Notamacropus eugenii: one gene and its partners. The protein of the gene in region 1 interacts with the protein of each later gene in a biochemical or structural test. Links are inferred from orthologs where the notes say so. Each region holds a gene or a part of one and is shown on either strand. Other genes may lie near its edges.

Region 1 (7,810 bases):
TGTAGTATATTTCACAAATATCTGCTGAATTGAATGTAGTTTTTCAGCTGAACAGGGGACCTCTTTTTCAAAGTACCATTTGCTACAAGACTTGCTCTTAAAAGTAGTAAAAGTGATCTGAATGGGGAAATTATCAAGATGACATTTCTAAAAAGCATTCCTGTTTTATTTCTATGCCACCTAGCCCTAATCAATCAAGATTACAAAAAAATAATAAACTATAGAGTAAGTTCTTTGAGGGGAATACAAATTCCTAACATCTATACAGTACTTTGCATATATTATTTAATGTGATCCTTAGCAACAATACTGTGAAGTAGGTAGTATTATTGTCCATATTACAAACAGATAAACTGAAGCTAAGGGGTGGGGTAAGTTGAGTGACCTGCCCTGGGTCTAAGACAGGAAGTGAACTCAGGTCTTCCAATCTATCCAGGGCAGTAGTGACTGGTCTTTTACATTTTTACTTTTATATCTCCTATGTCTAGCAATATAGCTCATGTAACTGGCATTCCATATTTTATTTCATAAACAAAATCAATAAAAGTATTACTGTTAGATTTAAATAAACTAAACTGATCTAAAACCTCTAGTTTTAATTTTTAGAGTATCTTAAATTATTTCCTCCTCTAGTAAAATGCTGCTCTGATACCTAATCTTGGCATGGAAGTAATGCTGGGTTTTCAAGGGCTACGCCAGGGAAGGCAAGCTCTGGCAAGCGAAGTTTCAAGTAACAGGCCTATCGAGGAACTTCGAGTTGTACAAGAGTTTTTCTAATTAATTTCATAGAGGTTGGAGGCTCATTACCAGAAAGCTGATTGATCACTAGATTTTTGTGGTCTCAGCAAACTTAGGACGACTTTTAAAGAATGAAGGAATTGTATTCTATTTTGATAGAAGGAGCACATCACAAATCTTTTGAAGTCAAGTTACTCATTATGACTAAATGTGGAACTGACCAGGGGTAGTTGGTTAAATAAAAAAAAATGCCATGTATTAATTTGTCACAAGAAACTTGTTCTCAACAGTAAAGAAAAATGAAACTGAATAGGCTAAAAAAACTTTGCAAGATTAATTCAAATTTCTTAACTAGTTAATCACAGGAGGACCCCAACCTCATGATTAAGATAAATTTATTTTATTTTCCACACCCACTTACTCAACATGTTTTCCAGAACTAATTGTTTTCCTTCAAAAGGTTAAACTTATCTTACCAATGTACAAGTTCCTAGTTCTACCATTTTAATATTTGACTAGGAACTCCTTCAGAATATTGCTTTAAAATTTTATTATCATAAAAATTCACGAGCCTTTCGATTTTTGTATTTCAATCAGACATCTTAAGCCAGTTCAAGAATCTAAATTTCAAATAGAAAGCTAGGTATTAATAAAACCATCACTAACAGAGGCACAAAGTCAAAACCCAAATATAGATCTCAAAAAAACTCACTAAGCTAGCAGTAATTAATTATTGGAGAGTATTATTAAGCAACAAAAACATTCAAACACAACACTGGAAAATGTATTCATTTGTTGCAGAAATTTCATGAGGCTAATAGCATTTTTCAGGAGTCCTGACCAACTCTAAATTGCACAAGCAATACTGTGATACACAATTTTGTTCAGATTACACTGGAATATTTGTTTCTTGGGGGGGGGGAGTTGAGGGGGAAAATAAATCGCATAAGGCAAGTCTTGTCTTCCCATAAACCCAGCAACACTACAAACTGTAATGAAATGATATGCCTTGAGTCACAGGGATCAATTTTTTCCTCAGGAAGCTTGTTCTACTGCATCCCATTGGGCTAAAATCAGTTTTCTGGACATCTTACTGTGTTCAAAATAAATTCACTCTCATCTTCTTTACCACAAGTACATTAAGAGTTTACCGAAAGAACAGCAAAAACCAAGGCTTCCTTGAAGCAAAAACTACTTAAGTACAGGAACTGAGACTACAAAAACCCTGTATATAAAATTTTAGACCACCTAATAGATCAATCACCTTCACTGCAGTCTGCTAACCCTAAAACATTATCAACCTTAACGACAGTTATATTTTTAAAGTACTCACCTAGCTCTCAATAAGCTACTTCGATTTAGGAAATGGAGTTATTATAAATCACCAGAAACACACTTTAAAAGAAAAATAATTTTCTACCTAACCTACAAGGGAGGGCGGAAGGCAGGCATTCTGATTCAGAGGTTCATCTCATGAACTTTAAGTTCTGCCTAAATCCAAACTGGGTTTTTGAATTGAGCAAAAGGGTGGAGCCCACTTTTTCCCTTTGGGTTGGGTAAATCAATCCCTCGCTTCCAAAAAAAAAAAAAAAAAAAGAGGGCAGGACCCCGGAGCACAAACTAACACCATCCCAGGCACAAGAAGTGGGAGAGGCTGGCGGCCTCTCCCACCCAGCCCTCGGGGAAGGCAGTGAGAACAGTGTCCGGGCGGGGGAGGAGGAGGGGCTCAAGAGAACCCCCCCAACTTGAGGACGGGATCCTTAGAGGCCGAGCCTAACCCCAAGGGCCCAGGCCCCACCGGGAGTCCGACCCCGGGACGGTCCACAGCCGCCCCACCCCGGGGTATCTCCAACGCTGGCCCGGCCCAAGCGATCCAGCCGCCACCCTACAGGAAGCCCCTCCGCGGGCGGCCGGACACCCCGACCTCGGGCTCGCGAAGCGGGGCGCCCGCCGTTCCGCCCCACCCCGGACACCCGGCGGACCCCGCCCCCGCACGCCCCCCAGGGTACCCCCCCACCCCCCGGCGGAGGTCGAGCCCGCGCCCCCCGAGAGCAGGAAGCCGCGCGGGAGGACGAGGGGAAGGCTGCGGGCGGGGGTGGGGGGAAGGGGACTTACCCGTCTCCTACCACCACACACTTGATGGCCTGCATCGGGGCGGCTCGCGGGGCTGCCGCGGAGGCGGCGGCGGCGGAGGTGGAGGCGGCGGCTGCCGGGGCTGCCCGGGAGCAGAAGGGGAGGACCGCCGGGCTCCGGGCGGGATGGGCTCCTGACAAGGCGGGGGAAGGCCCCGGGAGCGGCGGTACGTGGAGAGAGGGGGGACGGGGACCGCAGTCCACGCCGCCTCGCCCCTTAGCCGACTAGAAGGCGATCTCAGGCAGCAGCCACCACCCAAAGCTGGAGGAAAACTGCAGAGAAACAGGAAATGGCCGCTCCACTCACATCCGGCCTCCCCTCCCCCTGCTCCTTCCCCGCCGTCGCGGCCGCCGCCGCGGCCGCTCCCTTCGCCCTCCCCATCTGGGCGGGGCCAGCCCCTCTCTACTTTCCTTCTCCCTCTCGCTTCCGCTCTTTCCGGCCCGAGCCCCGCCTCCAATTCCAGGTCCCGTTTCGGAAATGCTCGGAAACGCTCGCCTCCCGCGCGACTGGAGATTCGCGCGCGGCCTCGTCCCGGCGCGGGCGGGGGCGCGCGGCTGACGGGAGGAGGTTGGGGGTGGGGAAAGGGAGAAGACGGGCCGCCATGTTTGTGCTACTGACCTAGTCAGAACTTGTTCCCCGGCAGGACCGCGGGACTGGAGGGAAAAAAGGACCGCTTGCGCCCGCGCCCCTGATTCCCGTAGACCTCGGGTCTTCCCTGCTTGTTTTTTTGTTTTGCCTTTTCTCGTTTCCCCCTTTTCCCGCGGGTCAGAGTTTTGGGAATGAGAGGGCGGAGGCCGAGCGAGCTGAGGTTGGATTACTGCCGTACCCTCCTTTAGGCGCGGGAGCAGGTATTTCTGACAGAGAGTTAGGGGCTGTAGCTTTGGGGTGAGCGGCCTGATTCCACCCCGACTGCCAGAAAGTTACTTAACAAACCCCCCCGGCCTCAGTTTCCTCATCTGTAAAAGCAGGTTGAGCCGGGCGGGCCCCAGGGCTCGGTCCTAGAAGCGGGCTCCGTGACTGGGGGACAAGCGGGTACAATGGGTAGGTAACAGGCCGAGGAACGTGGAAGGCAGCGCGCTTCCCGGGACTGCCGGGGCCGGCGAGCGGGGAGGCTGAGAGACGGGCACCATGCCGGGTACAGGGTCACTGGTAACGGACTGGGAAGAGGCGCCGTGCTGGCACCCCGGCCATCCCGCCCTGGGGGGGAGTTGGATTGGAATTATCTCCCGCCTCCAAACTCGTGGCTGCCCAGTCAAACTTGTGGGAGCTTACCTGCCGGCGGCGCCCCCCTCCCCCCACTTCCTCCCAATGGGATGGATCCCCTGCTGGGATCGGACTTTAACGTGCCTAGAGGTACTCCTCAAACACTGGAACTTCCCAGCCCCTCCGTGCCACCTCAGCTGGGCACGGAGGTGGGGATACCCTCGAGTGCTCCGCCTGCGTGGTTATCCGATAATGATCTTCTAAGTTATTCTTTATTTCCCTCTGGCTTATCTAAACCTGTTCCTTGGCTTCACTGTGACTTCTAATCCCTTCCAGGGGTGGGGACCACCCCTAGATCCTTGGGGGAGACCTTTTGACTGAGTCCCAGTTGTAGAGAACAAATTTAATTTATTTGATTTGATTTATTTTATTAAGGGGATGTGTTCTGTGAAGTTTGGATTCAGTCAAAGGGCTGAACTTGAGGTTCCCCACCCCAGATTTAAACCATTCCTTTGCCCCTTTATCTTATCACTGTTTCCTACATGGCCAAGACCCAGCTTGGGATCAGTTCTATTGTCTGCTACTTGTACTTACTCAAGTGTTGGCAAACAAAGCTGGAGAAAATCACAACTGTGCTGACTGGGTGTACTGCAGATTTGTGTGACTTAATCTCAAATGGTCCTCCGCTGAGTGAGATATCCCCTTTACACCTTCCTGATCACTGCTGCTAGGCACTCTTACTTTACCTTCCTTATCAATTCACTATCTCACTCCCCACTGTTACTCTTCCAAACCTTTCCATCTCTTGTCAAACCTCCATGGCCCCCTCTGCCCCCACTCTCTCAGCTTTGAAACTTTCTTTATATTTTACAGAAAAAATTGAGGCCCTTAAACATGAGCTCCCTCTTTTCCCCTCTCCCTCATCTCTTTTCCATTGGGTACCTTCTTCCTCTCTCTCCTCCTTCATTTCTGTCCCACATTTAAGGCTTTAGTCCTTACCAAGGCTAACCCCTCTACTTGTTCAAGTGATCCCATTCCATTCTGTCTCTTCCAATAGATTTCCCCTCTATCATCCCTGCCCCATCACTTATTTTCAGCCTCTGTCTACTGGCTCATTCCCTACTGTCTACAAATATTCCTGTGTCTCTCCTGGCCTGAAAAGGATCCAGTTGATCCTTCCATCTCTGCTAACTTTCATCCTATATCTCTTCTGCCCTTTGTAGCCAAATTCCTCATAAAGTCCATCTATAATAGGTGTGTCCACTTTCTGTCTTCTCACTCCCTTCTTAACACCTTATAATCTAGCTTCTGGCCTCATTATTCCTCTGAAACTGCTCACTACAAAATTGTCAGTGATCTCTTAATTGCTAAATCCAAAGTCCTCTTCTCAACCTCATTCTCCTTGACCTCTCTGCAGCCTTTGACACTATTAATCACCCTTTACTCCTTGAGTATATACTCTGTTTTACGTAGGTTTTCTCTCTCTTGGTTCTCCTCCTACCTGTCAGATCACTCCTTTGTCTTATTTGCTGGCTTCTCATCCAGATCAAGCCTTCAAACTGTAGGTATCCCTCAGGGTTCTGTCCTGGGCCCTCTTCTTTTCTCCCTCTATACTTTTTCACTTGGTGATGTCAATTAACTGTCATGGAATAATTACCAAATCTATGCTGATGATTTGCAAATCTACCCATCCTGCCCCAGTGTCTGCTGACTACCAGTCTCACATCTCCAGATATCTCTCAGACATCTTAAACTTGATGTCCAGTAGATATCTTAAACACATATCCAAAACAGAACTTACTATCTTTCTCCCTAAAACCTCACCTGCTGCTACCTTCCCTATTACTCAAGAGGACAACACTATTCTCCCAGTTCCTCAGGTTCAAAACCTAGGGCAACCTAGGTGTCATCCTTAATTCCTCACTATCTTTTATACAACTCCCCCCATGCCATTTTTAATCTGTTGCCAAGACCTGTTGATTTCACCTTTGCAACATCTCTTGTATATATATTCTTCTTTCCTCTGATACTGCCCCCACTTTAGTTCAGGTCTCATTATCTCATGTGTGGTCTACTGGAATAGCCTGCTAGTGAGTTTACCTTCCTTAAGTCTCTTCTTACTGCAATCCATCCTCCTCTATTCAACCACCAAAATGATTCTCCTAAAGCACAGGTCCGATTATGTTACTCCCTTCCTCCACTCAACAAAATCCGATGGCTCCCTTATTGCCTCCATGACCAAGTATAAAATGCTCTGTTTGGCATTCAAAGTCCTTTATAACCTAGTTTCATATACCTTATTCCCCAACATGTACTTGTCAATACAGTGACACTGGCCTTCTGACTCTTCCACAAACAAGACACCTCCAGCTCCAGGCATTTTCTTTGGCTGTCTTCCATGCCTCCTCCACTTCTGCCTACTGATTTCTCTGGCTTCCTTTAAGTCCCAGTTAAAATCTCATCGTTTACAGAAAGCCTTTCCCAACCTCTCTTAATTTTAATGCCTTCTCTTTTTTAATTATTTCCTGTTGGTCCTTTATGAAGCTTGTTTGTATAAGTTTGCATATTGTCTTCTTAATTAAATTGTGAGGACAGAAACTGACTTTTGCCTCTTTTTTCATCCCCAGTACATACATCCCCTTATGTACTGGCACATAGTAGGTACTTAATAAATATTGCTTGCTTGCTTAATGAGAGAAGACCCTTAAGCAAGATGAAATGTAAATTTGGGCAATAGCTAGTAGCCTGGTTTGGTAGGAAATTAAGGATATGAAAGAGAATAGTATAGAATAAGGCTGAAAAGGTAGATGAGAGCCAGATTGTGAAGGAATTTAAATGCTGAGAAGTTCTTATTTTATTCTAGAAACAAAAATCAGGAGCTGTTGAAGATTTTTTTGAGCAGGGGAATGATACAGACAGACTTATGTTTTGGGAATGTTAATTTGTCCACAAATGCTATGGTGAATGCATTGGAGAGAGGAAAGGCTAGAAGAAGGAATACTGGTTAGGAAGTCATTGCAGTAGTAGTATAAGACAAGTAATGAGAGCCCAAACCTGGACCGTGGCTGTGAATAGAAAGAAAGGGATGTATGTAAGAGATATTGTAGAGGTAGAATCCACACAACTGCAAAAGGCATGGAAGCTAACTGGGCTCATTGATTTTTTGTGTTTGTTTTTTCATCATTCTCTTTTTATCCAATAAAGCTACCATTCTAATTAAAAGAATTTGGAAAAAAAAATCAGGGCAGCTATACTGCACAGTGGATAGAGTGCTGGGTCTACAGTCAGGAAGATTCATCTTCCTGAGTTCAAATCTGGCCTCAGACAACTTACTAGCTATATGACTCTGGGCAAGTTGCTTAACCCTGTTTCAGATTCTTCATCTGCAAAATGAGCTGGAGAAAGAAATGACAAGCTACTCCAATATCTCTTCCATGAACATTTCTAATGGAGTCAGGATGAATCAGACACAACTGAAGAACAACTGAACAGCAACAAGATAGTTTCTGAAACAAAATGAACCAGGTATTAAGCAGTCTCTCTACTGGGTGATAGAGTTAGCAAGAGTGAAACAATCTACTTGCAATGAACTTTTGTTCTTTTTCAAAAATTCAGTTTTATTTTATTTTAAGTTCCAAATTCTCTCCCTCACTCCTCCTCTTCCTTAGTCGTTTAGGAAACAAGAACAAATAGAATTCATTACAAATATGTATAGACGTACAAAACAATTTTCTGC
Region 2 (7,982 bases), on another chromosome or scaffold:
TAGAAGGCCACAGGTTCCCCACGCCAGTTCTATGGCATCTCTCACATCTATACTCTTCTCTCTACACATAACAGTACATCAGAGTAGTTCAAGCTTTCACTATTTCTTGCCTGGATTACTAAAGGTTTTCTGTCTGCTTTTCACAACCTGGCCCTATCATATCTTTTCAGCCTTGTAAGACATAATATCCTGTCTCAAACTCTGAGATCCAACCAAACTGTCCTTTTTCCTCTGTTCCTCATAAGTGACACTTCCATCTCCCATGTACAGCATACCTTGTTTGCACTGACTGTTCCTCATACTTGGAATGCAATCCTTCCTTACCTCCAACTGAAAGAACCTCTTTATTTGAGACCCAGCTCAAGCACCACCATTTCCATCGAAGTTTTCCATCCCTCAACTATCAGGTATCTGGGTTCACCACACCATAACCACCTTATGAAGAGGCATTATTTCATTTATTTTATTTGCATTCCACAGTGCCTGATACATAACAGGGAATTACAAAATGCTTGCTTGATTAACTGAATAGCCTCTTAATTGGTCTCCTTGCCTCCAGTCTCTGCTCTACATCCAGGAAGCCAAAAACCTGCTAAATGGATATTCTTAAAGTAGAACCTGCCCCTGTCACTACCCTTTTCAAGAAGTCCAGAGGCTCCCTACTTCCACTAGGATAAAACTGAACATTCTTTTGTATGGAGATTTAAAGCCCTTTACAACCTGGCTTCAACACATCTTTCTAGACTTATCACATATTACTTCCCTTCAAACAATTTATGGTCCAAGTCAAACTGACCTACTTGATATTTATTATTCCCTGTACATACAACTTTCCAATTCTTGCCTCAATGCTTTGGAACAGGCTGTTCCATGCGTGGTGGATCCTCTTAGAATGCCTCTCTCCCTTCCAAGCCCTCCCTCATGAGGCCTTTCATACCACCTTTACCTTATATAAAGTAATTCAATATAGACTTTTAGGTGCATATTTGGTTTCCCCTGATTGAACCTTAAGCTCCTCCTCAAAGGCAGAAGTTTCCTTTTTTTGTCTTTGTAACATCAGTATCTAGCAATGTGAGGCACCTCACAGTTGTTTAATAAATGCTTATTGATTTAAAATTTCTCCTTGCCCTTCCATCCCAATCCCTCAATAGCATCACCATGAAACCACAATCCATTCATGTTGCATTTGGATTTGCAGAAATCATCTAAGTAACAGGAGATGTGGCTCTTATGTAAAATCAGAAGCCCAAATAGGGTTAGATCCTAGGTCATCATCCTCAGTCTGAGAACAATTTGGGAAGAGAATGAAGTTCCTAGAATAACCCCGAGATTCAGGGCCCAGAATAAGAGCCCATAACTCTATTTCCCTAAATATTGATAAATTAAGCAATCACAGAAAACAGGCTTAGGAATGGGAACAGGATGAATTTTAAGCAGTTCCCAACATCCCTAGAGGCATAAATTTAGAACCAAAGGTAAAAGAAATCAAGCAGTCCAGAAATTATTTAATATTAAGAATCCAACCTGTAGTATATTTCCTTAGAAACAGGAGATATAATCACAGACAGTATTTAGACTCATAAAGTATTAAAGCAGAAAAGGACCAAAGAAACCATCTAATCCAAAGGTCCTTAATCTGGGATGAGAGGGGGGAATGCACGAATTTGAGTGGGGAGAAAAATTCATTTTTATTTTCACTAACTGAAATTTAGCTTTCTTCTGGGAAGGGGTCCGCAGGTTTCACCAGATTGTCAAAGGGGTTCATGAAACAAACAAAAAAGGTTTAGAAAGCCCAGATCTAGTCGAACTACCTCTTTTAAAAAAAATGAGGGAACTGAGAGCCAAAGCTCTTTTCAATCAGTCAATAAACATGTGAAGGCCCCCTCCAGAGTAGTGGTATGGCACGGTGCTAAGCGCAGGGGATACCAAGAGAGGGAAAAGGCAGTCCCCTGCCCTCAAGGGGCTCAGAGGAATGGGAGGAGCTCTTTGACATCTACTGGTTTTTTTTTCCTCCCCCCTATAGTGCAGCCAGTTTCACTAGGATGCCGTTAGAGTGTGGGTGGCTCCGAAAAAAAGGGGATTTTTTTTAAAAGACCAAATGTGGGGCGCAGAAAGGAAAGACTGATTTCTAAACATGATCCCAAGGGCCAAGTCTCCATGGCCTCCAGGGTCACTTCCTCTTTGGCTTACCCCCCGGGCTCCTCGAGCTCCCTCCATTCCAAGGGCTGTCAATCTCGGCACGCCGCCTCGCCCCACTTGCTGCCTGCCAGGAGCCGGGGCTTGCTCCTCCGAGCCTGGACCTCCCTGTCCCTGCCTCTGGCTGCCCCCTCTCCTCTCCTCTCCTCTCCACGTGGGCGCGGCTCACCTTGGACGCCATCTGTGCCTCTGGCCAGCTCCTGGCTCTTTCTGCCTGCCTGGGCTTCATCTCAGCCTCTTCCCTCTAAGGGGCTCTGCCGGAAGGGATGTGCTGAGGAAGGGGCGGGGATGGGTGGGCAGCTTCCCCCTCCCGTACTCCCCCACCTTGCCAGGGGGCCAGCAGGAAGCCCCGAGCAGCTGTCACCTCCCCCGTTCCCGGCGGCTGCGCTGCCCCTCCCGCGGCCTCCGCCCGGGCGGATACCCCTGGTCCCTGGGTGCAGAGAGCCTTCGCCGCCGCCGCCTCCCAGCGGGGCTGGGGACAGAGTTCCCCGAGGCCCTCCACCCCAGACCCCGGACTCCGGGCGGAGACGTCGCGCCCAGGCTGGGGGCGGCAGAACAAAGGCAGCAGCAGAGGCTGCAGCGGCCGCGGCGACGGCTCCACCCTGACGTCCCTCCCCTCCAGCCGGTGGCGGCGGCTCTCCCTTCCTCGTCCCGCCCTCCCGGGGAGGTCCGGAAGAGCAGCAGCGGCTCCGGGATGAAGGGTGGACTCCCCGGAGCCCGGTCACTCACTCACCGACGAGTTCGACGCGTCCGCCGCCTCTCGCGCTCCCTCCCGCACTAACGACGAACCGAGTGGGCCGGCTCCACCCCGCCCGCGCGCCCCCTCCAGTCGCTTCCGGGGTCACGCGACTTCCGCTCGCCAGCCTCTAAGCGGTAGCAAGCAAGCGAGCGGGCGGGCGGGCGGCCTGGGTCTGCGCAAGCGCCCACACCACTTGTCCCTTCCCCCAGTAGGCTGAGGCGCTAGGAGGTGAAGGAGGCCTTCCTCAGCCTCCACCCACCCACCCACCCACCCACGGGGAGGGAGGGGGAAGGGAAGGTGCTGAAGCGGGCCAGGACCATAGAGAAATGCTCTGGAGGAAAGAGAGTAGCCTGCGCCCGGCCATCTTGCCGAGGTTGGCGGCGACTGAGACTTCTGAGGCATTCCCGGTTGGCCCCGGTTTGGGGGTGTCTGTGCGTGCCCGGTAGGGTTTCCGGTGCCGGGCCTGAGGCCTGTGCTGTTCCCAGAGAACAGCCCGTGGGGTGAATCCGGCTGGGCCGGAGGGCCAGACTCCCTTCCCTGTCTCCATGGAAACCAGGGGATGCCCCAGAGTCGAGCTAGGCATGTGATGCCCTCCAGTTGGGGGGAGGGCAGGGGAGGCGTCTGCGAATCAGGCACCCCCGCGGGAGCCTCCCCTTTCCCTCCCCCGCCTTTCCGTCAGTTGAGGAAAGTCGCTTAAGTTAGCCTTGTATGATAATAATAATAATAGCATTTGTAGAGCGTTTTATTAGTAATACTTATAGAGCGCTTTAATGACCATGACAGCTAGCGTCTAGCTCCCAGAAGCTTGCAGAGCACTTCACATTTATCATCACATCTGCTGCTCACGTACCGCGAGGTCTGCTCTTAGCATCCCCATTTTACACGTGAGGAAACAGGCGGAGCGAGTGTAAGTGATTTATACAAAGTAACAACTAGTAAATGTCTGGGGCAGGATTGGAACTGCATTCTGGTCCTCCGGACTCCCGTGTCCAAGGTCCTATCCATTTCATCACCTAGCTTATCTGTCAGTAGCTGATGAATCATTTTATTTAGCGAACATTTAATGAGCTCCCTGCTATATACAGAGGCATCTTCTTATGCTGGACAGAAAACTAACTGCCTAGTTAGGAACACCTTGGTTCAAGTTCTGTCCTGGCTAAAGTGATTTCTCCTGTCGGTGCCACCGGGCAACTGTAAGACAAAAAGTTACATGCTAGTTACCTGTATGGAGTGGACGAAATTTCCATACTAGATAGGCACTTGATAAGATATGAAGGTGAAATAAGGTACAGTAGCTTCCAGTTATAGTAGGGGAGTTGAAACAAGTACATTGTCTATATGTAGTAAATTAGAATATAAGTGCATTAAAATCATGTTTGATCTGTGAATCTAAATGTCAGAGTTCTTAAAGATGCCAGGTTTCTAGGAGCCCTGGCTGTGGCTGTCCCCCTCCCCACCCTGGAACCCATCTAAATATTATATACCACAGTTTACCAGATGACTTCCACTTTGCTGTGGAGATGTTCCACGCTGTGTTTAAGCACCCAAATAACCCCGCTAGGGTTTCTCTATAAGAGAATAATAATATTATTAATTATAATATATTAATAATAAGAGGACAGGTGCATTTAGGACAGCATAATGTCTGCCAGTAAGGGCTTAATGCTTATTAACTGAGTAGACAGTGACTTTTAAGCTAAATTTAATTCTAATTCATATTTAAAGACTACCAAAAAGTTGAATGTTACTTAAAATTCTAGAGACACTAGCGTCTGTGTGTTATTCTTCTGTCATCTTTCAGATTTTTGTCTTTGCATTCTTCTGAAACATGAATGTGGTTCTAGAATTTGACTTTCAATCTGTCTTCCAATTTCACCAGTGATTATTTTATTGAACTTTTTTAAAAAGTTGAATGTTTCCTTTTATTTTTATGCCAGTCTGACATTGAAGAACCAGATACTATCCTCACTCTTCTCCACTAAAGGGTCCCTCTGCTCCTGACCCAGACACACAGTCAGATCTAGGTCAATGGGAGGATAGTTAGGTTTATACCAGAGCTACATACAGAGATGGTCATACCTTTGATCTTGTCATCATCCACAAGTGTTTCATATCTATGTTCATAAATTGTGAAATCCCTTTATCTGATCAGTGTGTTCTCATCCCACCTCTCCCTCTGCCTTACAATTCTAAGCTCTGTTCTTTGTTCTTATTTTGACCTCCAAAACCTTCAGTTTTTTCCCTGACCATCATCCTTGCACTTATACTCTCTTTCCTTCCCTACCTAGTCCTCCTTAGGAACCAGTTTAACTTTACCCTATCTTCTCCAGTCCCTTGCTGATTAACCCTGATTATGGAGTTTGTCTTCTCATATTCCAGCCTTGGATTACTCCCAGCACTCACTGCCTTTGTTCCTACTAAAGGCATTACTGAATGAAGTCAGAGAAAAATCAAGAAACTTTGCTAACTAGGTCCACTAAAAGTTTATGTTGCATGATCTCAACTGCAGCAAGGGATCTTTCCTAATTGAGCCCACTTGCCTTTGGGGCTAATTCCATTCCACCCAGTCTTCTCCAGCAGATTGCCCCCTCTCATTAATCTTCATTTGCCCCCAGTCTGTTGTCTACTTCCCTATTACCTATAAATATGCCCATGTCTCTGCCAGCTTAAAAAAAACCCCGCCACTTGTACTGTCCATCCTTGGTAGCTATATAACCCTCCTCATTTCTGTGGCCAAACTTGAAAAAGCAATCTACAACCAGTGCCTCCACTTCCTTTTCTCTCACTTTCCTTAACCTTCTGCAATCTGGCTTCTGACTCATTATTCAACCAAAACTGCTTTCTCCAAAGTTACCAGTGATCTCTTAATTGCCAAATCGAATCACCTTTTCTCAGTCTTCATCATTTTTTACTTCTCTGTAGCCTCTGATATTGTTAATTTGTTGGTTTTTCTGACATTGCTTTCTCCTGATTCTCCTACAAGCCTGACCACTCCTTTGTCTCTTTTGCTGGATCTTCAGCCAGGTCATGCCTGCTAACAATGGCTATCCCCCTTCTTCTCCCTCTATATTATTTCATTTATCAGTCTCATTCACTTCCATTATTTCAGTTATCATCTCTATGCAGATGACTTTCAGATCTTATTTGTCCAGTCCTAACCTCTCCCCTGAACTCCAGCTTTTACCTTTACTCGCCTTTTAGACATCTCAAACTGAGTGTCCAGTAAACATCTTAAACAAAACATGTCCAAAACCAAACTCATTATCTTTCACACCATTTTCTTTCTCCATCTTCCAAACTTCTTTACTCCCTGTTGAGAAGACCACCATTCTCCCAGGCATACAACCTGTCATTCTCAGCTTCTCACTTTCTGTCTTCCCAAGTACAGTTAAGTTCAATCATTTCTACTCATACCTCATCAGTACCTTCTGCCCCTCTGATTGGAGGGTGGAGGTATAAACTCCTCCATTTAAGGAAAAGGAACAAGTCAGACCTCACAGATATTTCTTCATTCCCATTCTATGGCATTCATTTTGGTCTTCTTTGACTTTTCACCATGCCCCTGGGCCAGGTACCTCCTCTCTGAAACCCCCTTCAGCTTTCTTTTGTATGTTGTCTTCCCCTGTTAGATGGGAAACTCCTTGAGGGCAAGAGTTGCCTTTTTCTATATTTGTATCCCCCATAGCTTAGCACATGTATGGCACATACTAGATGCTTAAGAAATGTTGACTATTGTTTCTACCTTCATAACATCTTAACTATAGGTCCTCTCTCTCCTCTAACTTTGCACCTACCTTAGTACAAGCCTGTATCACATCACACATGGGCTATTTCTACAGTAGCCTTTGGTTGGTTTCCCTGTCTCCAGTCTGTCTTCCACTCAGCTATTAAATAGATCTTCCTAAAATGCATGTCTGGCTACTTTCCTCCCCCTAAAATTTTAATAAACTCTAGTGGCTCCCTCTTACCTCTGGGATCAACTATTAAATCTTGTTTGGCTTTCAAAGCTCTTCATAACCTGGCTCCTATCTTTTCCAGTTTTCCTACGCTTTAGTCTCCAATACTCTCCAATAGAGTGACACTGATGTCCTTATTGATCTTTTCACAGGACACTCCCTATCCTGATTCAGGGTTTTCACTGGCTAGAACCCTCTCCCTTCTCATCTCTTAACTTCCAGCTTTCCTGGCTTCCCTCAAGTCTCAGCTAAAGTTAAACCTTCTGCATTAAGCTTTTCATTCTGAGATCACCCCAATGTGTCCTGTATATAGTTTGTACAAAATCTTTTACATGTTGTCTCCTCCATTAAACTGTGAGCTCCTTGAGAGCAGGGACTAGTTGTTTTGCCTTTATTTGTATCCTTAGCTCAGCATAGTGCTCGATACATGATAGACAGTTAATGTTAGTTGGACAGACTAATGAGAGGAAGACTAGACTCCCTGTTCTCAGATTTTTGGGATAATTAAACCCTTACCCTAATGCTCCTGGGGATGAATTATTTAAAATTTTGGTTTAGCCTCCTGTCTAGGAATTCCCCAAAAGGAAAAATACCGAATGTACCTTATGAATCAGGTTTGGGATTGGTATTGATTTCCTACACATAAAGAGAATGCTAAACACAGAACCTTCACAAGCACACCTTTGATAGAAATAAACTTAAAACAAGATTCAGTAATAACTTAGAACTGTTAGAATTTTCTAAGAGGTTGCTATTTAAACCTCATCAAACATAAAACAGTTTGTGGGATTTCTGATTAGGCATTTTTCATTTCACCTGGATTCTGCACTTTCCAAAGAACTCCCTGTATATGCCTACTAGTAAAATGGTCAGACTAAGGCCCCAGCTTATCAACAGATCTCTGATGCAGAAGCTTCCCTTGTTTCCCATCCAGGACCTAAAGACCCTTTGAACACACAGAGTTGCCTCCTGATTAAAAAAAAATGCCCACTCTGAAGCTAAAGGCCTTTTATGTTTCCTATAAGTTTCAATCATAAAATCATATATTAAGCTAAACAGTTCAGATATTCCTTTTAGAGCTGGAAGGGAAA
Region 3 (7,726 bases), on another chromosome or scaffold:
AGTTTCTTAAGAAGAAATGAAGGAGCCATTACGTATGGGGCAACTAGGTGGTAAAGTGGATAGAGCACTGGACTTGGAATCATTTGACCTCAGGCACTTACTAACCGTGTGACCCTGAGCAAGTCACTTAACCTTGTTTGTCTTAGTTACTTGTCTGTAAAATGAACTAGAGAAGTAAATGGCAAATTCTTTGCCAAGAAAACTCCAAATGGGGTCACAAAGAGTTGAATATGACAGAAATGACCAAAACCCAACAAAATTATTATACACATATATGCACAGAGATATACATGTATACATGCATACATACATGCATATTTATTCAAGGCTGGTCGATATCATACTTTTGCTCCAGTTTCTTACTATGCCTGGAATGCCCTGGCTCCATATTTTTTTCCTGTTTTTTAAAGCTGAACTCAAATATCACTTCTTAGGAGAAGTCTGTCCTGATCTCATGTTGACCTTTTCCCTTGAATTACGCATAGTTTGCTTACTGCTGTTTTTTTCTTGAATGTTTCATGGATTTTGTATAATAACTATTTGTACCCATGCCATACCTCTTCACTACACAAACACCACTAGATTAGGTTCTTTGTCCAATCCAAACTCACATTCACATGGAACCTTCATTTCCTCTTCTTAAAAATGGGGGTAAGAATATTCACAAAACTTTTCTCAGAGTTGTTGTGGGGAAATTTCTCCCTAAAGTTCTTTTTACATTTGCATTTTAGTATTAGTATTGTTACTATCCAAAATATACTTTCCCATAACCAGTTAAAATTCTGGTTCTTAGAGCTGAATCTTGCCTGTCCTATTTTAAATTAGACTTATTTGGTCTTCTTGTTTGATCTTACTCAGATATAGGAAGCAAATTTTCAGTGTTCTCTACATTAGAAACACCTTCCAAATACCTGAAGGATTCGAAAGGATTTTCCTTCCCTTGACAACTTTAATTCTTTCAACCTTTTTATTTAAAATCTTAATTTTATTCCATTGATTATTTTGCTGTTTTTCTTTTGACACTCTTTTATATATCTTTTGAAGTGTTGTTACCTCAACTGGTTACAATATTGATTAATTCATAGTTCACCGGATAGATTTTTTTTCCTGCTCCTTGCACAGTCACTTTGTTATATCCTAGCGCTAGGTGGACATTTTCCTGCTACCCAATCTTCCCCCAACTTGGTTGACAGGCAACATAGCCTAGTGAATGGCATAGTGGACTTGCAGCCAAAAAAGGTCTGGGTTTGAATCTTACCTTTGATAATTGTAAGTCATAAATTTAGAGTTAGAATGTACCTTAAAGATCATCATAGCAGCTGCATGACTGTAGGCAATTTAATGAACCTCCATACCTCTCTAGGACTTATCTATGAAGCCTAAAATATCTACTATCTACTAAGTCATAGTTGATGATATTTTATTTTTGTCTTAATGAAAGCTCCATTACTTATTCTATTTGAAATACATCATAATTTAAAAGTCCAAATAATAACCATTTTATCAAGACATTTTAAATTTTATTCCTGTCCTTCTGAGTATTAGCAGCTCTGCTTGATCAATTCTTAGGAACTTCAAAAGATTTTTGATTTAATGGATATTCCCACCATCTCTTGCCTTAGTAGATATGTCAAGATTTGCCCTTGGCACTACCCCTCACCTGCCCTCCATCACTTGGTGGTTAACTTTCTGGCAATGAGGCTCTTTGATCTTAACCTAGGCTGGTCCTTGGATGACAGTCCCATGCTCACAGCTTTTCCCACTTTATGGTAACTTAAGCATCTAGAACCCTCCCCAGGCCCCAAGGAACAACATTATCTGCAAATGTATTGATATTATTCTAAATTCCTTCTGTGGATCATCTTAATAGTAGTAAATACAAGGGAGGAGGGAAAGATTTTTCTGGAAATCTTAGCTTAGGTTAATAATACTGATAATTAGCATTTGGTTAAAACTCTTGGACCAGATATTTACCTCCCTTTTCTTGGTCATCATATAAGGAAAGCAGCATAATTTATGTTTATTTAGCATAATCATGAGGATAAGAAGTGGACCTTAATGCTAGTGCCTTCTCTCTGTTGGTTATCTGCAACTTATTCTGTATCCATCATTTGTACATGGCTGTTTGCATGCTTTCTCCCCCATTCCCACAAGACTGTAAGTTTCTTGAGAGCAGGGACTACATTTTGCCTTTCTTCGTATTCCCATCATTTAGAGCCTGGAATACAGCAGATGCTTAAAAAATACTAGGTGACTGATTGATTTCATTAGAATAGGGAATTTCCAGATGAAGAAATTCCGTCTACCAATTCAGGTTGTGACTGTCTCTGTGGCTTGTCGTCTGAGAACTGTTTACAGTACTGAAAGGTTAAATGATTTGCCCAAGGTTGAATAACCTAGATGGACCAAAGGTAGGACTTCTTGAACTCAGGCCTTTCTGGTTTGGGGGCCAATTCTGCATTCACTATGACATACTGCCTCTCTGTATAATTATAGGGACATAAAAACAGATTCGATGCCTTGATATGAAAACAATATGGTATTTATTGCCATTTTTGTCCAAAAAATCAAGCTGCTTCTGGCATTATTTTGAGTATTTACATACAAATGTGAATGAATATTAAAATAATGAAGAGGAAATAGAGGCAGTAAAGTTGAACCAGAAAACATAGGAAGAATGGTATTAATTGCCTACAACAGTGGAGTACTGAATGAAAGCAGAAGTTGAGGTAGGGGAGAGCATTGTAAAGTTCTTTTGGATATTTAAAAATCTTATATAGCTTTCCAGTCCTTTCCATAAACTATCATTATGGAAAGTCACAAAAAAAGCAAACAAGGAAAACATTGGCAGACTGTAGACATAATGAGTGGAAATAAATGTAGCAAAGGAAAGCCAATGCTTTAGCCAGCATATTCTATTTCAATAAAAGACTTGATTTCTCCTGTGAACCGTATGGAGATGAAAGAAATGTGTAAATATCATTAGCCATTTCTTTCTTTTTCTTAAATAAGTCTTTTTTTTTTTCATTTACACAGCATGTTTTGAAGCTAAGGCTAGGAAAGAAAGAAAAATGATACCAGTTCCTAACTGACCATCCCCACCATGCTCCCACATGCTAACCATGGGCTGTATGCCCCATGTCTACTCTTAAAGTTCTTTGTAGAAAAAAATTGACTGGATCTAACTGTGACATTCCTCCCAAACCAACTTAAGAAATCAATCAAACCCAATATTGATTAAATACAAAATAAGTCTTCCTTATGTCTCTGTGTAATACCATTTCTGATTTTTCCCCTAGATTTTTGGATCGAATATCTCCATTTAAAATGGAATAACTACCAAGTTTCTACTAGATATTCTGTCCTCACCCAAACCTCTAGAAGGGGCCACTAATTGCCAGCAAGCCACATTAACCAACCCTCCACTAGGGGACACACAAGACTCAAGCTGTACTGAGTTAGATTGCAGTTCACGTTCACAGGGACACACAGCATTATTGAAAACCCACTCCTGCCCAATTTAGACCCATGGACATGGCAAAAAAAAGTATATTACGTGATTGTTGATTTGTAACAGTGAGGAGAATGCCACGTATTTGGGGCCCCCTTCCTCACCACTCACATTTAAAAAAAAAATAAAATTGTCATAAATAAAAGGAGGAGGGAGCATTATGGGAAACTTTGGGTGGTTGGTTTTTTTTTTTTTAACAACACATTATAAAAATCGAAAAACCGTAAGTCTTTTTAAGCAAAGGAGTGAGGCATAAGGACAGAGAATGAAAGGAGTAAAGGAAGATTCTTCCAGATGGTGTCTCCTTAAAATTGCCCAGGCAGAAGCGCAAATGGTTAACATATTGTATAAAGGAAAGTGCACATGGGCACCTCGCACTTGTACAGTTCGAGGATAAAAGGCTGCCACCCGCGACTGAAAATGAACTAGTTTCTCTAGAGGTCAAAGGGACTTCTTTCAGACGGTGCTTCCTTGGCTGAGATGGTACAGACACACTATACCCAAAAAAAGACTTTACATGATATACACCTGACCAACTAAAGATATTTAGCGTCTAGATCTGTGAATTCCTCTATCCCACGACCACATTCTACACTGGCACTTGGTCCAGGACGTCAGCTGCTGGATAAACCTTTGCAGACTGGCTCTGGAGACACGTCTTTGTATCTGTGGGTCGTGCTGGAACGCCAGCACGCCTCGGATACCCCAGCCTCGCCCCCCGGGCGCCTCTGCTAGGGCCCGTGCTCATGGCTAGAACACGCTAAGACGATGACAGGATGTGGAGCTGGTGGCAAACGGCGTCTTTTCTTCTCCTCCTGTCAGTGATGTCATTGGGCGACAGCAGCTGAAGGAAGGCTCGGAGGAGGAGGAGGAGGCGCCCGGCTGTGGCTGCTGCTGATGCAGGTTCATGTGCATATAATGAAAAGGCACTTGACAGTCTGCCAAAACGCACGAGAGGGAGAGAGGGAGAAACTGGACCTGCTGGATTTCGCAAAGCCAATCGTCATCATCTGCATCTACATGGGGAAGGAGGAGGAGGAGGAGGAGGGATCAGCAGCTCCAGCCGCCGCTGCTCCAATGTGAAACCACAAGCCAAAAGGGGGGGATCCAAAAAAAAGAGAGGCGGCGGGGGGGCGGGGGGAGAGAGGCGGCTCCGTGGGCAATTCTCTCCCTTTTCCCTGCGGATTCCTCTTCCTCCGGCAGCTATGAATTCCGCCGAACAGACCGTTACGTGGCTGATTACCTTGGGGGTGCTGGAGTCGCCCAAAAAAACCATTTCGGACCCGGAGGGCTTTTTGCAGTCGTCTCTGAAAGATGGGGTGGTCCTCTGCAGGCTGCTGGACCGCCTGCTCCCTGGGACCATAGAGAAAGTAAGTGCAATATCTCCTCTCCACGCCTTCCACCGCGCTCCCCCCACCGCACCCCACCCCACCGCACCCCACCCTGCCTACCCCCACCCCCTGCTCTCCTCCACAGAACTGATCGTGCCAGCCCTGGCCGGATGGTGTGTTTCACCGGAGGGCACACACACATCTACACACCCCATTTTCTCTCCACCCCCCGCCCCTTCCTCTCCCTTCCAAGGCTCGACCACCTCTGCCGAAGCCGGGAAACGCCTTTGAATGTGCTCGGGCACAATGACCTAACCTCGGGGCTGCTGGGGCGTGCGGGGAAGCGGCCAGAGGGGCCGCGCTGCCCCGGGGCGCTCTGCCTGCCTCCCGGCCAGCCCGCCCGGTCTGGGGACTTCGCCCTACGCACTTTCCTTTGTGCGCTGATCTCCCTCGGAGAGCCGGGTCAGCGCGGAAAGCGGCGTGCGGCTTCTGCGGGGTGAGCAGCGCTCCCCCAGACCCGGGGAGCGGGAGCTCCAAAGGCGCCATTGTGTGGGGGACGTGGGGAGGGGGCGGGGGGGGCCGGGCCCGGAGCGAGCCGAGGGGCTTCCGAGGCGGCGGCGGGGGCACCCGGAGCCCGAGGAGGCGCGGCGGCGTCCAGACCTAGCCATGCGTCCGTCCTCTGTCCTCTGCCACCGCCGCCCACCGCTCCGGCTTTGGGAGGGAACCAGAGTCCCCCCGCGCAGACTGGCCATGACTTCTGCTTCTCAGACGTTATAAAAAGTCGAGGGGGCTCCAGTTCCGTGACCCCACCGGAAAAACCCGTTTGGATGCGGCACCGTCTCCCGAAGTGCCACTCTCGGGACCAAACCTTCGGTCACGCTCAACAGTTCAACTTTTCTCTTTTTGGGGGGAGGGGGAAGAAGAAGGAGGGGGTCTAAACGCACTGGTTACTTTGTAATTCTCCCCCGCGTGCACGCAACAAAAGCTGGTTAATTACTTCGATGTAGCAAGAATTCCTCCTGTAGTCTGAAGGATCTTGGGATCCCTTCAGTTAAAACCCCTAAACGTGTGAGTATTGGTTTAAGATGCTTGAATTTTATTCCCAGATTTAGACCTTGGATCCGAGCAGAACTGATCTAGCCCTAGAGACCCTGTTACTCATAATGTCTGCAGCCAATAAGCTGCACACTCACTCATTCAGAGGAACATATGTGCGAACTTTGACCTGCTTATCTTTGAGAGCCTAAAGTTTATCTTCATGCTGGACAGGAAGATGAGAAAAGGGAGGATCCGGTGCAAAGGACTGCACAAAGGATGCTCCCTCTTTTAAATGTCAAATTCTACTTCCAATTTTTTTCTTCTGTGAAACAGCATTAAAACTAGTGAATAATGATTATAAAAAGGTTGAATATCTAAATTTGAACACTTCAGAATTAGAATGATGTCTGGAAAAGAATGAATTATATATTTTTAATATTTGTATACTATATATTAGCCATTCCAAATAATGAAGTAGCACTTTAATCATAATACAACACAAGTCGTTTATAGTCAAATATTATAGAAAGATACATTGTTACAGAACTCACCAATAAGTTTGAATATGTCCTTTTTCTTTCATTTTAAAAGACAAATCTTCTTTATTGATAGCAGATTATGAGAATCAGAAAATATTTATGGGGCACTTACAATATAGAAAAGCGCTCACTATTACAAGTACTTGGGGGATCCAAAGATGAACCATATCACATGCTTTCATATTTTTCTTGCTAGGGAACAACTTCGTAAAAAATGACCCCTCTTTTTTTTTTTTTAAATGAGTTCATCCTATTCTGCCTGACCTTGAAATAAAAATGTTTTGCTTGTAAATGATCCTAATGTCATAATAGAATTGTGATTTAAGATAGGAAAAAAGGAGTAGGAACTAACTTTTCAGAAACCCCAAAGACTTTGTTATCATTTAGATATCAGTATCTCTGGTAATAAAAACCAGATGAGAAGTACTGAAACTAAATGATAAATTAGCAGAATTATGGACAGAAAATATTTGTTATAGGTTCTAAAAGCAATACTTTAAGGAACTTAATCTTTTGTGTTGATAGCAAACACAGTTTTCTAGAAATGTATACTATTATATATAGGCCTCTAGAGTTATTTTAACTAGTAAATTTTGGTAATCAGTGGTTTCGAGTTAATATTTCTCTTTAGATTATGGAAAGGTATTCTTTAAAAACTTCAGAGATCACCTCATCTATTGAAAAAAAGTAGAGGGTTATAAGTTAGGCTTATAGAAGTCTCAAATAAAAAGTATCAAAATGAATGCTAATATTGAGACCCAGCCCTCTAAAGTCATTGAACAATCACTTTAATTGAGTATTATTTTCTCATTTTCAGAGATTATAGTGTAAGATCATCCTGTCATCATATATGATGAAATTATAAACTAAGAAATATCCATGGTTCAAAAAAGACTTTCTAGGGGTAGAACCTCAGTTTTGAAAAGTTCTCCTAATCAAGAGGGATGTCAGAGGAATTATAAATCTACTTCTTTTCTTATACAAAGTTATTCATTTAAAAAATATTGCTGTACATATCAAATAGCATATGCTGTAGTGCATACAATTCTGATTCGCTTGAAAGTAGACTATGAGATGGAATAATTTTTCCTTTAAAATGAAAAAAATCTGAATTTCACTGCATCTCAAATGTTGAGATGATAGACAAGGGGGAGGGGCATGCAGTCTGTGCTTGTTTTCTTTAAAATTTAAAGGATCTGAATCCTTGCCACTATACCCTGCTTCACCAAAATAATTTTAACAACAAATATTTAAGCAGTTTTGTAGCTCAACACTAGCAATTCACAATTTAAAACTATTAGCTTTGG
Region 4 (7,546 bases), about 380 Mb from region 1:
CACACATGACAAAGTGACTACAGTAAAATTTGTCCTGCATATCATGATTTAATTAGTTACTTCCGCAGATAAAGCCCAATTTCTGACTGCTTGATTTTTCAGGGCTAACAAAGGCTTGGTTTTTTTCTTTTTCTTAATGGCTTCAAATTTCTTCTGATGTCAAATATATGCATACATATACATACACACAGAGAGAAATCTGTAAATTGGGCAGGACAATTTTTGCTATGTCTCACTAAGTAGTTTTTTCTTCTTCTCAGGAACCACTATCCCTCATGCTTCATGATTCTCAACCAGATGAGGCTGCTTAGTACACCAGTTCCTGTTTTCTTTCCCAATGGCTGTCCCCAAGTCAACAGCTCCTAGGCTTCTATTTTCCTGGCCATCTTCCTCCATTCTCTGGCTCCCATTGCAAATTCAACTGGGGAAGAGGACAACTGAGGGCAGTGCACCTGGTAAATGTAGAGATCTAGTTGGTGCAACCCTTAGGGACAATCCAGTCTTCATTTTACAGAAGAGGAACCTGAGATCACACAGGATTAGAACTCAGGTCCTCTCACTTCATTCTTTCCATTACACTGAACTGAATATATTACATATTATTATCTATAACAATACAATATATAAATATAATGTATAATATGTGTTACATATGTATGTATGTATATATACACATCTATATGTATCCTGGTTGAGAGGTTGATATATGGACTTCCCATTAACAGGAAATGTTATATATCACTCTGACATTGACCATAGCCCTCCCCATCTCCTGTTTGGTTAGGGATTTAAACAGTGTTGTTTTGGAATGTATATTATGACACCCTCTGCCGGGGAAGAAAACCCTGCTGGAGGAAATATCCTCCAGCCACTCATCACCGCACCAGAAGCACCCGAATTCAGTCTGCCCCCTGGTGCGAATTTCCTAGCCAGGGCTCTAACAATTGGGAAAAATCGCACACATCAATATACTCAGTGACTCCATCAAGACTCACGATGTCCCCGTGTGCCAGACTCCTTTGATATTCCATCCCCTAGAACCCTGAATCACTTTGGCATTTGTCATTAAAGTTTTCAACGACCTGAGAGGGATTCTTGTCCTCCGAGGATCACCCTGATTAGAAAACTGTCATGCACAGAAAGCAGCGGACCCGCCTCTATCGATTGCTACTCCGCTCGCCTGATCAATGTTTTTCTCTTTCTGGAGAGCGGCTGACCAACCTCAGAGCAGCGGCAAGCCTGTGTTCGTTCACTCAGGGCAGGTAAAAGTGTGCATAGTAGCTCTCCAAAAAAGACCTACAAGCGTGAAGCCAACACACACACACACACACACACACACACACACACACACACACACACACACACACACACACACACACACACACACACACACACACACACCACTTGTAAAACAGCAAAGAGTGAGCAGCTTGCTCGCCTTTAAGCGGTTTAGAACAAGAGATAAACCCCACCATTCCTTCTATCTAAGACATGCCCCGTGCACGCACAAGTCTCTTAACAGTCTACACTGTACTAATTTTTGAAACAAACAAAGAAAATCTGGTAGGCGAAGAAAGGGGGTTCACTCTTCTTTGGTTTAGGAATTGGGCAGTCAGAGCAGTGGGAAACGTTGGGGTGCTTAGCATCCCCAGCCGACCCCCCCCCCCCCCCGGAGGCAGCAACCCCCAAGGAGCTGGGTGGGGAAAGTCTGAGTCCGCTTTCCCCTCTACTCTCCGGGACTCTGGGCATCCTAGGACCCCAGGGGAGGTTGGCTTCGCTGCCCAAGGACGCTCTCTCCTTTTCCCACGTCTGCCCCGGGGAAGACAGATCGAGCGATGGCTCGGCTCTGGGAAATAAGCAGCCGCCTCCCCCAAACAAGTGGCACGCCTGCGAAAAGGCAGACGGGCACGGCTCCAGGTATATCGGCGCCCACATGCGAGGATCAGGACCGAGACTCCTCGGGGCAAGGGATGGGGAAAGGGGCGCTGAGGCCAGCTGGCCACCACCGGCAGATGGAAACTCACCCGAGGAAACCGAGGAGCCAGACAAACTGGAGTTGCTGGACGCTGCCATCACCCCCTCGCTGGATTTCCCCCCTTGTCGCCCCTTCTTAGGTTCTGGTCCAGATGTGGCTGCTGCCGTTGGTGCTGCTGCTGCCTCCGCGGTCCTGGCGCTGCTGCTGCTGCTGCTGCTGCCGCCGCCGCTGCCCCCAGCCCATGGCAAAGTGCTGGGGACGCAGAGCGCAGAGCGGCGGTCTCCTCCCAGCCTCCCTCGCCAGCGCCGCGTCCTCCCCCCCTCCCCCCTCGGGACGGGGCTGCACTTCCTGCTTCGCCAGATGACGCGCCTCCAACGCCGCTATTTAAGTGAGCTTTCCTCCCCTCGCAGCTCCGCTTCGCGCGGCTCTGGGCGGCCCGCGGGAGGTGCCAGCGGAGCCGAGCGGAGCCACGAAGAGCCGGGGAGCGAGGTAGGCGGGCGGGCGGGCAACGTAGCCCGGGCGCTGCAGGTCCTCCTCCCGCGGCAGTCCCAGCCGCAGCCCCAGCCCCAGCTCCGGCTTGAGTTTCTCTGGAGATGGGTCCCAAGCTCGGGTGGAGAGCCGAGCCCTGGTTCCCTCGGTGCCCGCCTCCTCTCCAGTTAGCACCAGGAGAAGGAGGTGACACTCACCCCCTACACACACACACACACACACACACACACACACACACACACACACACACACACGCAGACACACCGACCGACCCGGACAGACAGAAAGGAGGCTCAGCCCCCTCCCCCTCGTCCCGCCTCCTCCACTCCACGCGCCCACACAAAGGAACAGGGAAGGAGCGGCCGCGGCCGCGGCGGCGATGCCAGGCGGCTGCTAGCTAAACAACTCTCCGGGCTGCAGCCCGAGGCGGCGCGGGCTTGAAAGGAGAGGCTGGGCCCGAAGGAGTCGAGATAGGTGCGAGCCCTTCGGGCCGAGCCCTCATTACCTCAGCCCCGCCGCCGCAGGGCACTCGGGGGCCCAGGGCAGAGCAGCTCTAGCGCTGCTAGATGCTTGGTGTCCAGGTGAGTCCGACGTCCTCCAGGGAGCCTGGGACCCGAGTCCGGCTGCTCCAGTGGGCACGATTCTGCCCCACGTTCCTTGCCCAGGTGGAGGCTATCTCCACGCCTCATCAGCGCCAGGACTCAGCCCTGGGTTGAAAGGGCGGATAGAGTGCGGCTGCCCCAGGTCAGTCCAACCCAGTACAACTCTCCAAGGGGGCTCCACGATCTGCATCCTGCGCCCCCATCCCGAATACGGGCGTTGTGTTTGGGTGAAGCGGGCGTGAGTCCGGGGCTGATCTAGCCCGATGTTCTAAAACGGGCTCTCCCTTTTTGGCATTATGTATTCATTCCTTGGACATTTCGTCTGGTGAGACCTGAGAAAGACTTCTCAGAACCATGATTTCAAATACACTAAATAAAATATGTAGGATTCCAAAGGAGGACAATCATATAGAGATACACCTATAATCTGTTTCTAAACTAAATTCACATACCGAGAATGAGAACTCGAGGCTTAAAGGGAGGCACCAATAGTGGCAGACATCAGAACCCCGCGAACCCCGGGCCAGACCAGGGTCAAACCGGCGCAAAGACGAGAGCCGCTTCCCTGGGTTTCCATAATGTCCAGCATTCCAAAGAGAGGTTCCCGAGCCTCAAGGACAAACTCGGGGTCAGGCAGCCTAGAGCACAACCGCCTGTGGGTCTGATCTGGAGCATCATTCTAAAGCGAGGCTTCCAAGAGCCGGGGCCACCACTGAAGCCTTCTCCCTGGGAAAGGGGAGCTGAGGAAGGCGCGGTCCCGGAAGGCTGAAGGCAAGGCAGAAGGGAGCGCGCTGGCTACCTGCTGGGGGAGCGGTGTGTCCTGACCTTCCACTCCCACCCCCGACCCTGGGCCCCGATTGTCCTTGGGCTTGATGGCTCGCGCACCCCCACGGCGCAACCACTCCTGGTGGCCAGTCTAGCCGGAGCCCCAGCTGGACCAATCCTCCCACCCCACCTGTGCCTAGGACCGCTAGGGAGGTTGGATTTCTAAGAAGCAAGAGAGATTGAAACATCATGAACCAAACAAAGCCCAGACGTCAAAAGGCGTTAGGGGTGGGGGTGGGGGGCTTTCCAGCAGCGCGTTAAATAAACCCTCTCGCTAAGTAAGACTTAGCAGCAGGCCAGTGGGTGTCCTTGCAGGTTGAGGAACTGTTGAGGTGGGAGAGAAAAAAACACCTAAAGATAAGGGCTTCGCCATTCCGCTGTATTTAAAGCGAAATCAATTTCACTGGAAGGGAATATCACGCAGGTTCTAAAAACCCAAACCTATTTCATGCTCCCAGCAGGGCAACCTGTTCATTTAGAAGGAAAGAGCAGGCAAAACTGTGAAATTTGAACAGAAATTGTTAGATCAAAGGAAAAGTAGACATTAAAGGAATGGATGTGGTCTCATTATATGCCCAAATGGAAAGTGGTACGCTGGGCTAGTGCCATTTTTTAAAAACACGGTTAAAGGGACACAGTTAATTTATAAATTATCTAGAGACATATGAACACTAACCAAATCCTGCCAGGTTCCAAGATCTGTCAGCGCCTCACAGACTGTGTGTGCATAATAAATGCTAAATAATTGCAGCCTGCTTGTCTCTCTCTTTTATAAGGCTGATTTAAGCTAAAGCTTGTCTGTCTGTGTATGTGTTTAATTTCACACTCGTTTTCATTTAACAACTGGGCTTGAAATTGAAATCCAGCTGTGTGAGTGCTTAGGTCATCTGTTTCAGATGGGTAGCTGGTGTAGCAGAACATTGTTTTTAGAATCAAAACTGAGGTTGTGGTGGCTCCGGGTAGAGTGCAGGCCTGGAGTCAGGAGAACTTGAGTTCAAATCCAGACTCAGACACTAGTTGTGTATGACCCTGGGTAAGTCATTTAACCCTGTTTGCCTCAGTATCTTTACCAAGAAACCCTGATTTGGGTTCATGAAAAGTGGGACGCACTAATTTAGAGTCAAAACTTAGTCAGCCCTCTGGCACAAAGTCAGAAAGCCTTGAGTTCAAATCCCTCCTCCACCACCTGTCAGAAGCATCTCCTCATCTATGAAATGCAGGTGTGGTGGGGGTGGGGAGAATAATACACCTACCTCACCAGTAAGCTTATTATTAGAAGAATTGGGTTCACCATCCTGGTTCTCTTGTGAACTACCTGCATGTGACCTTAGGAAAGTCACTCACCTTTCTGGAGGAAACTGTGGTTTCCACATCTACAAAATGAGGAGGTTCATTCTTTTTGGTAGCAGTTAGTGCCTTCTTCTTTGTAAATCGGTTTGCCTGTTTGCCTTTTCAATCAGAAAGAAGGAGCTAGAGACAGGGAGAGAATTTGGAATCATTTTTAAAATGAATATTAACTTAAAAAGTGTAATTGGGAAATGTTTAACAAAGTAAAAACCACAACACAACAGCGACAAAGTACTTGTTCACTAATGGCATGGCACATTTCACATGGGTAGCTCACCAACCTGTGGGTAATTTCTACCAAAAATAATGAACCTCCTCATAAGATACATGGAGGTAGATAGATAGATAGATAGATAGATAGATAGATAGATAGATAGATAGATAGATAGATAGATAGATAGATGGATGGATGGATGGACGGATGGGTAGATGCATAGATATAATGAGGTGAGTACTAGAGATTTTATTATCCCCATTTTGAAGATGAAGAAAATGAGGCTCAGAGAGTTTACATAACTTGTCTATGATCACACAGCAGATGTCAGAGGAAGGATTCAAAGTTAGTTCCCTCCTAATTCCTAAGTGCAATGATTTTTCCATTACACTACCTTTAAGAAGACAAAGTCAAGGAATAGGGAAGTGGTCCACAAAGTCTACCAACACATTTTTATTAGATAGATATTAGCTATGTGCCTAATACATAGATGGGACAACTAGGTGGTGCAGTGGGTAGAGAGCTGGGACTGGAGTCAGAAAGACCTAAATTCAAATCCAACCTCAGACACTTAGTAGTTGTGTGACCCTGGGCAAGTCACTTAACCTGTTTGCCTTAATCCACTGGACAGAAAAATGGCAAACCACTCCAGTATCCTTATCAAGAAAACCCTATAGACAGTGTGCTCCACAGGGTCACAAGAGTAGCACACAACTGAACAACAATGTGCCTGGCAGCTTGATGTAGTGGCTAGAAAGCTGGGCCTACTTGGGTTCAATATGCCCTCTGGCACAGATTGACTGTATGCTATGGGCAAGTCCATGAGTTTCTATACCCTAGGTAGCTAAGAGTAAAAATTGAAAAAATGAATTGACAGAGGAAGTTTGTTCACCTGTAAGTTCTCTATTTGAAAGAAATCATAGTTCTAACCTCAGTCCTTCTTTCTACATTTCAGGTGCTGTGCTAGACAAAATGAAAAAGTCTCTGCCCTGAAGGAGTTCAGATTCTATTGGGAGAAACAAAGTATGTGCACATACATATATATACAGGACTCAAACAAAGCAAGCACAAGGTGACCTCAGAATAAGGAAGCACTCTCAGATGGAGATGCCAAGAAAGGCCTTCTCCACAAGGTGTTGATGGAGCTGAATTATTTAATCTTGCCTCAGATGCTGGGTGGCAAGTCACAACCACAATAACTTTCATTTCATCTGTAGAATGAGTACAATGATAGTACCCAGCTAAAAGAATCCATGTGAGGCTATGAAGAAAATACTAACTAATACTTCTCCTCCTTCTACCCCACTTCTTCATCAGTATGATAGCTATTTTGTCAATTCCTGGAAGGGCAGCTGTTCCTAAGGAAGCACTTCTGTCCACCAGGTAACAGAAGGTATTGAGCAATGGAGGGTCCCAGGCCCTAGTTTTTCTCTGAGTAAAAAAGGATTCAAAGGGTAAAGAACACAAACTTACCTTTGGTTTGTAGGTGTAGGCTTTGGACAGGGGGTGGATAATGAGGATTTCTCTACTTCCTCTCAAGCAGAACACTGGACACCATGTGCTATTTTACTTCCTGTAACAGACTTGATTTACAATTATTTTGTAATTTAAAAGCAAAAGAAAACCCAAGGGAGAAAATGTGAATCTGGAGGTTGAGTCAGTGACCCTTAGAGGGAAGGAGCATTTTACGCATTGTGGCAAAGTTCTGTCCCTGTTCTGGGCATCAAAAACAACAAACTTTCAAGAATAGCTCAGTGGCCACCTTTCACCAGCATTTCTACAGGACTGACAAGTGTATAAGGTGTTTTACCTTCATGAACTCATGTGATCCTCACAACAAGCCTAGGAGACAAGTTCCTCTACGCTGCCTCTCAATGGACTGACCCATCTGTAAATCTGCAGATTTCCCCCAGTAAAAAGGTGGGGCATTAGAAGGCAGTGCAGATCAGGAGACAGGGAATCTGGGATCAAATCTCAGTTCTGCTGCTAACTACCTGGGTGACCATAGGCAGGTTTCTTTAGCCCTAATTTCTTTTTCTACAGCATAACTGGGTGGGTTGTATTGCTTGGCCTCTCAACCCCTCCCACATCTAC

Evidence for each region.
Region 2: the proteins of RAC1 (region 1) and ARHGDIA are reported together in a solved structure, tested with the Homo sapiens proteins (2 studies listed by BioGRID and IntAct, with this or other methods). The link is inferred for Notamacropus eugenii from reciprocal best matches to the Homo sapiens genes RAC1 and ARHGDIA.
Region 3: the proteins of RAC1 (region 1) and ARHGEF7 form a complex in vitro, tested with the Homo sapiens proteins (2 studies listed by IntAct). The link is inferred for Notamacropus eugenii from reciprocal best matches to the Homo sapiens genes RAC1 and ARHGEF7.
Region 4: the proteins of RAC1 (region 1) and CHN2 form a complex in vitro, tested with the Homo sapiens proteins (2 studies listed by BioGRID). The link is inferred for Notamacropus eugenii from reciprocal best matches to the Homo sapiens genes RAC1 and CHN2.

What each region holds. Positions count from the first base shown.
Region 1 is NC_092874.1:396,154,021-396,161,830, reverse strand, and holds the start of RAC1 (ras-related C3 botulinum toxin substrate 1), read right to left. Parts: upstream 3,197-7,810; 5' UTR 2,889-3,196; coding exon 2,854-2,888; intron 1-2,853. UniProt on the Homo sapiens protein: Plasma membrane-associated small GTPase which cycles between active GTP-bound and inactive GDP-bound states.
Region 2 is NC_092873.1:325,952,441-325,960,422, forward strand, and holds the start of ARHGDIA (rho GDP-dissociation inhibitor 1), read right to left. Parts: upstream 3,034-7,982; 5' UTR 2,930-3,033; intron 2,451-2,929; exon of another isoform or gene 2,366-2,450; intron 1-2,365. UniProt on the Homo sapiens protein: Controls Rho proteins homeostasis. Regulates the GDP/GTP exchange reaction of the Rho proteins by inhibiting the dissociation of GDP from them, and the subsequent binding of GTP to them.
Region 3 is NC_092877.1:211,259,119-211,266,844, reverse strand, and holds the start of ARHGEF7 (rho guanine nucleotide exchange factor 7), read left to right. Parts: upstream 1-4,644; 5' UTR 4,645-4,716; coding exon 4,717-4,881; intron 4,882-5,105; exon of another isoform or gene 5,106-5,255; intron 5,256-7,726. UniProt on the Homo sapiens protein: Acts as a RAC1 guanine nucleotide exchange factor (GEF) and can induce membrane ruffling. Functions in cell migration, attachment and cell spreading. Promotes targeting of RAC1 to focal adhesions. May function as a positive regulator of apoptosis.
Region 4 is NC_092874.1:20,083,916-20,091,461, reverse strand, and holds the start of CHN2 (beta-chimaerin), read right to left. Parts: upstream 3,117-7,546; 5' UTR 2,970-3,116; intron 2,228-2,969; 5' UTR 2,074-2,227; coding exon 2,025-2,073; intron 1-2,024.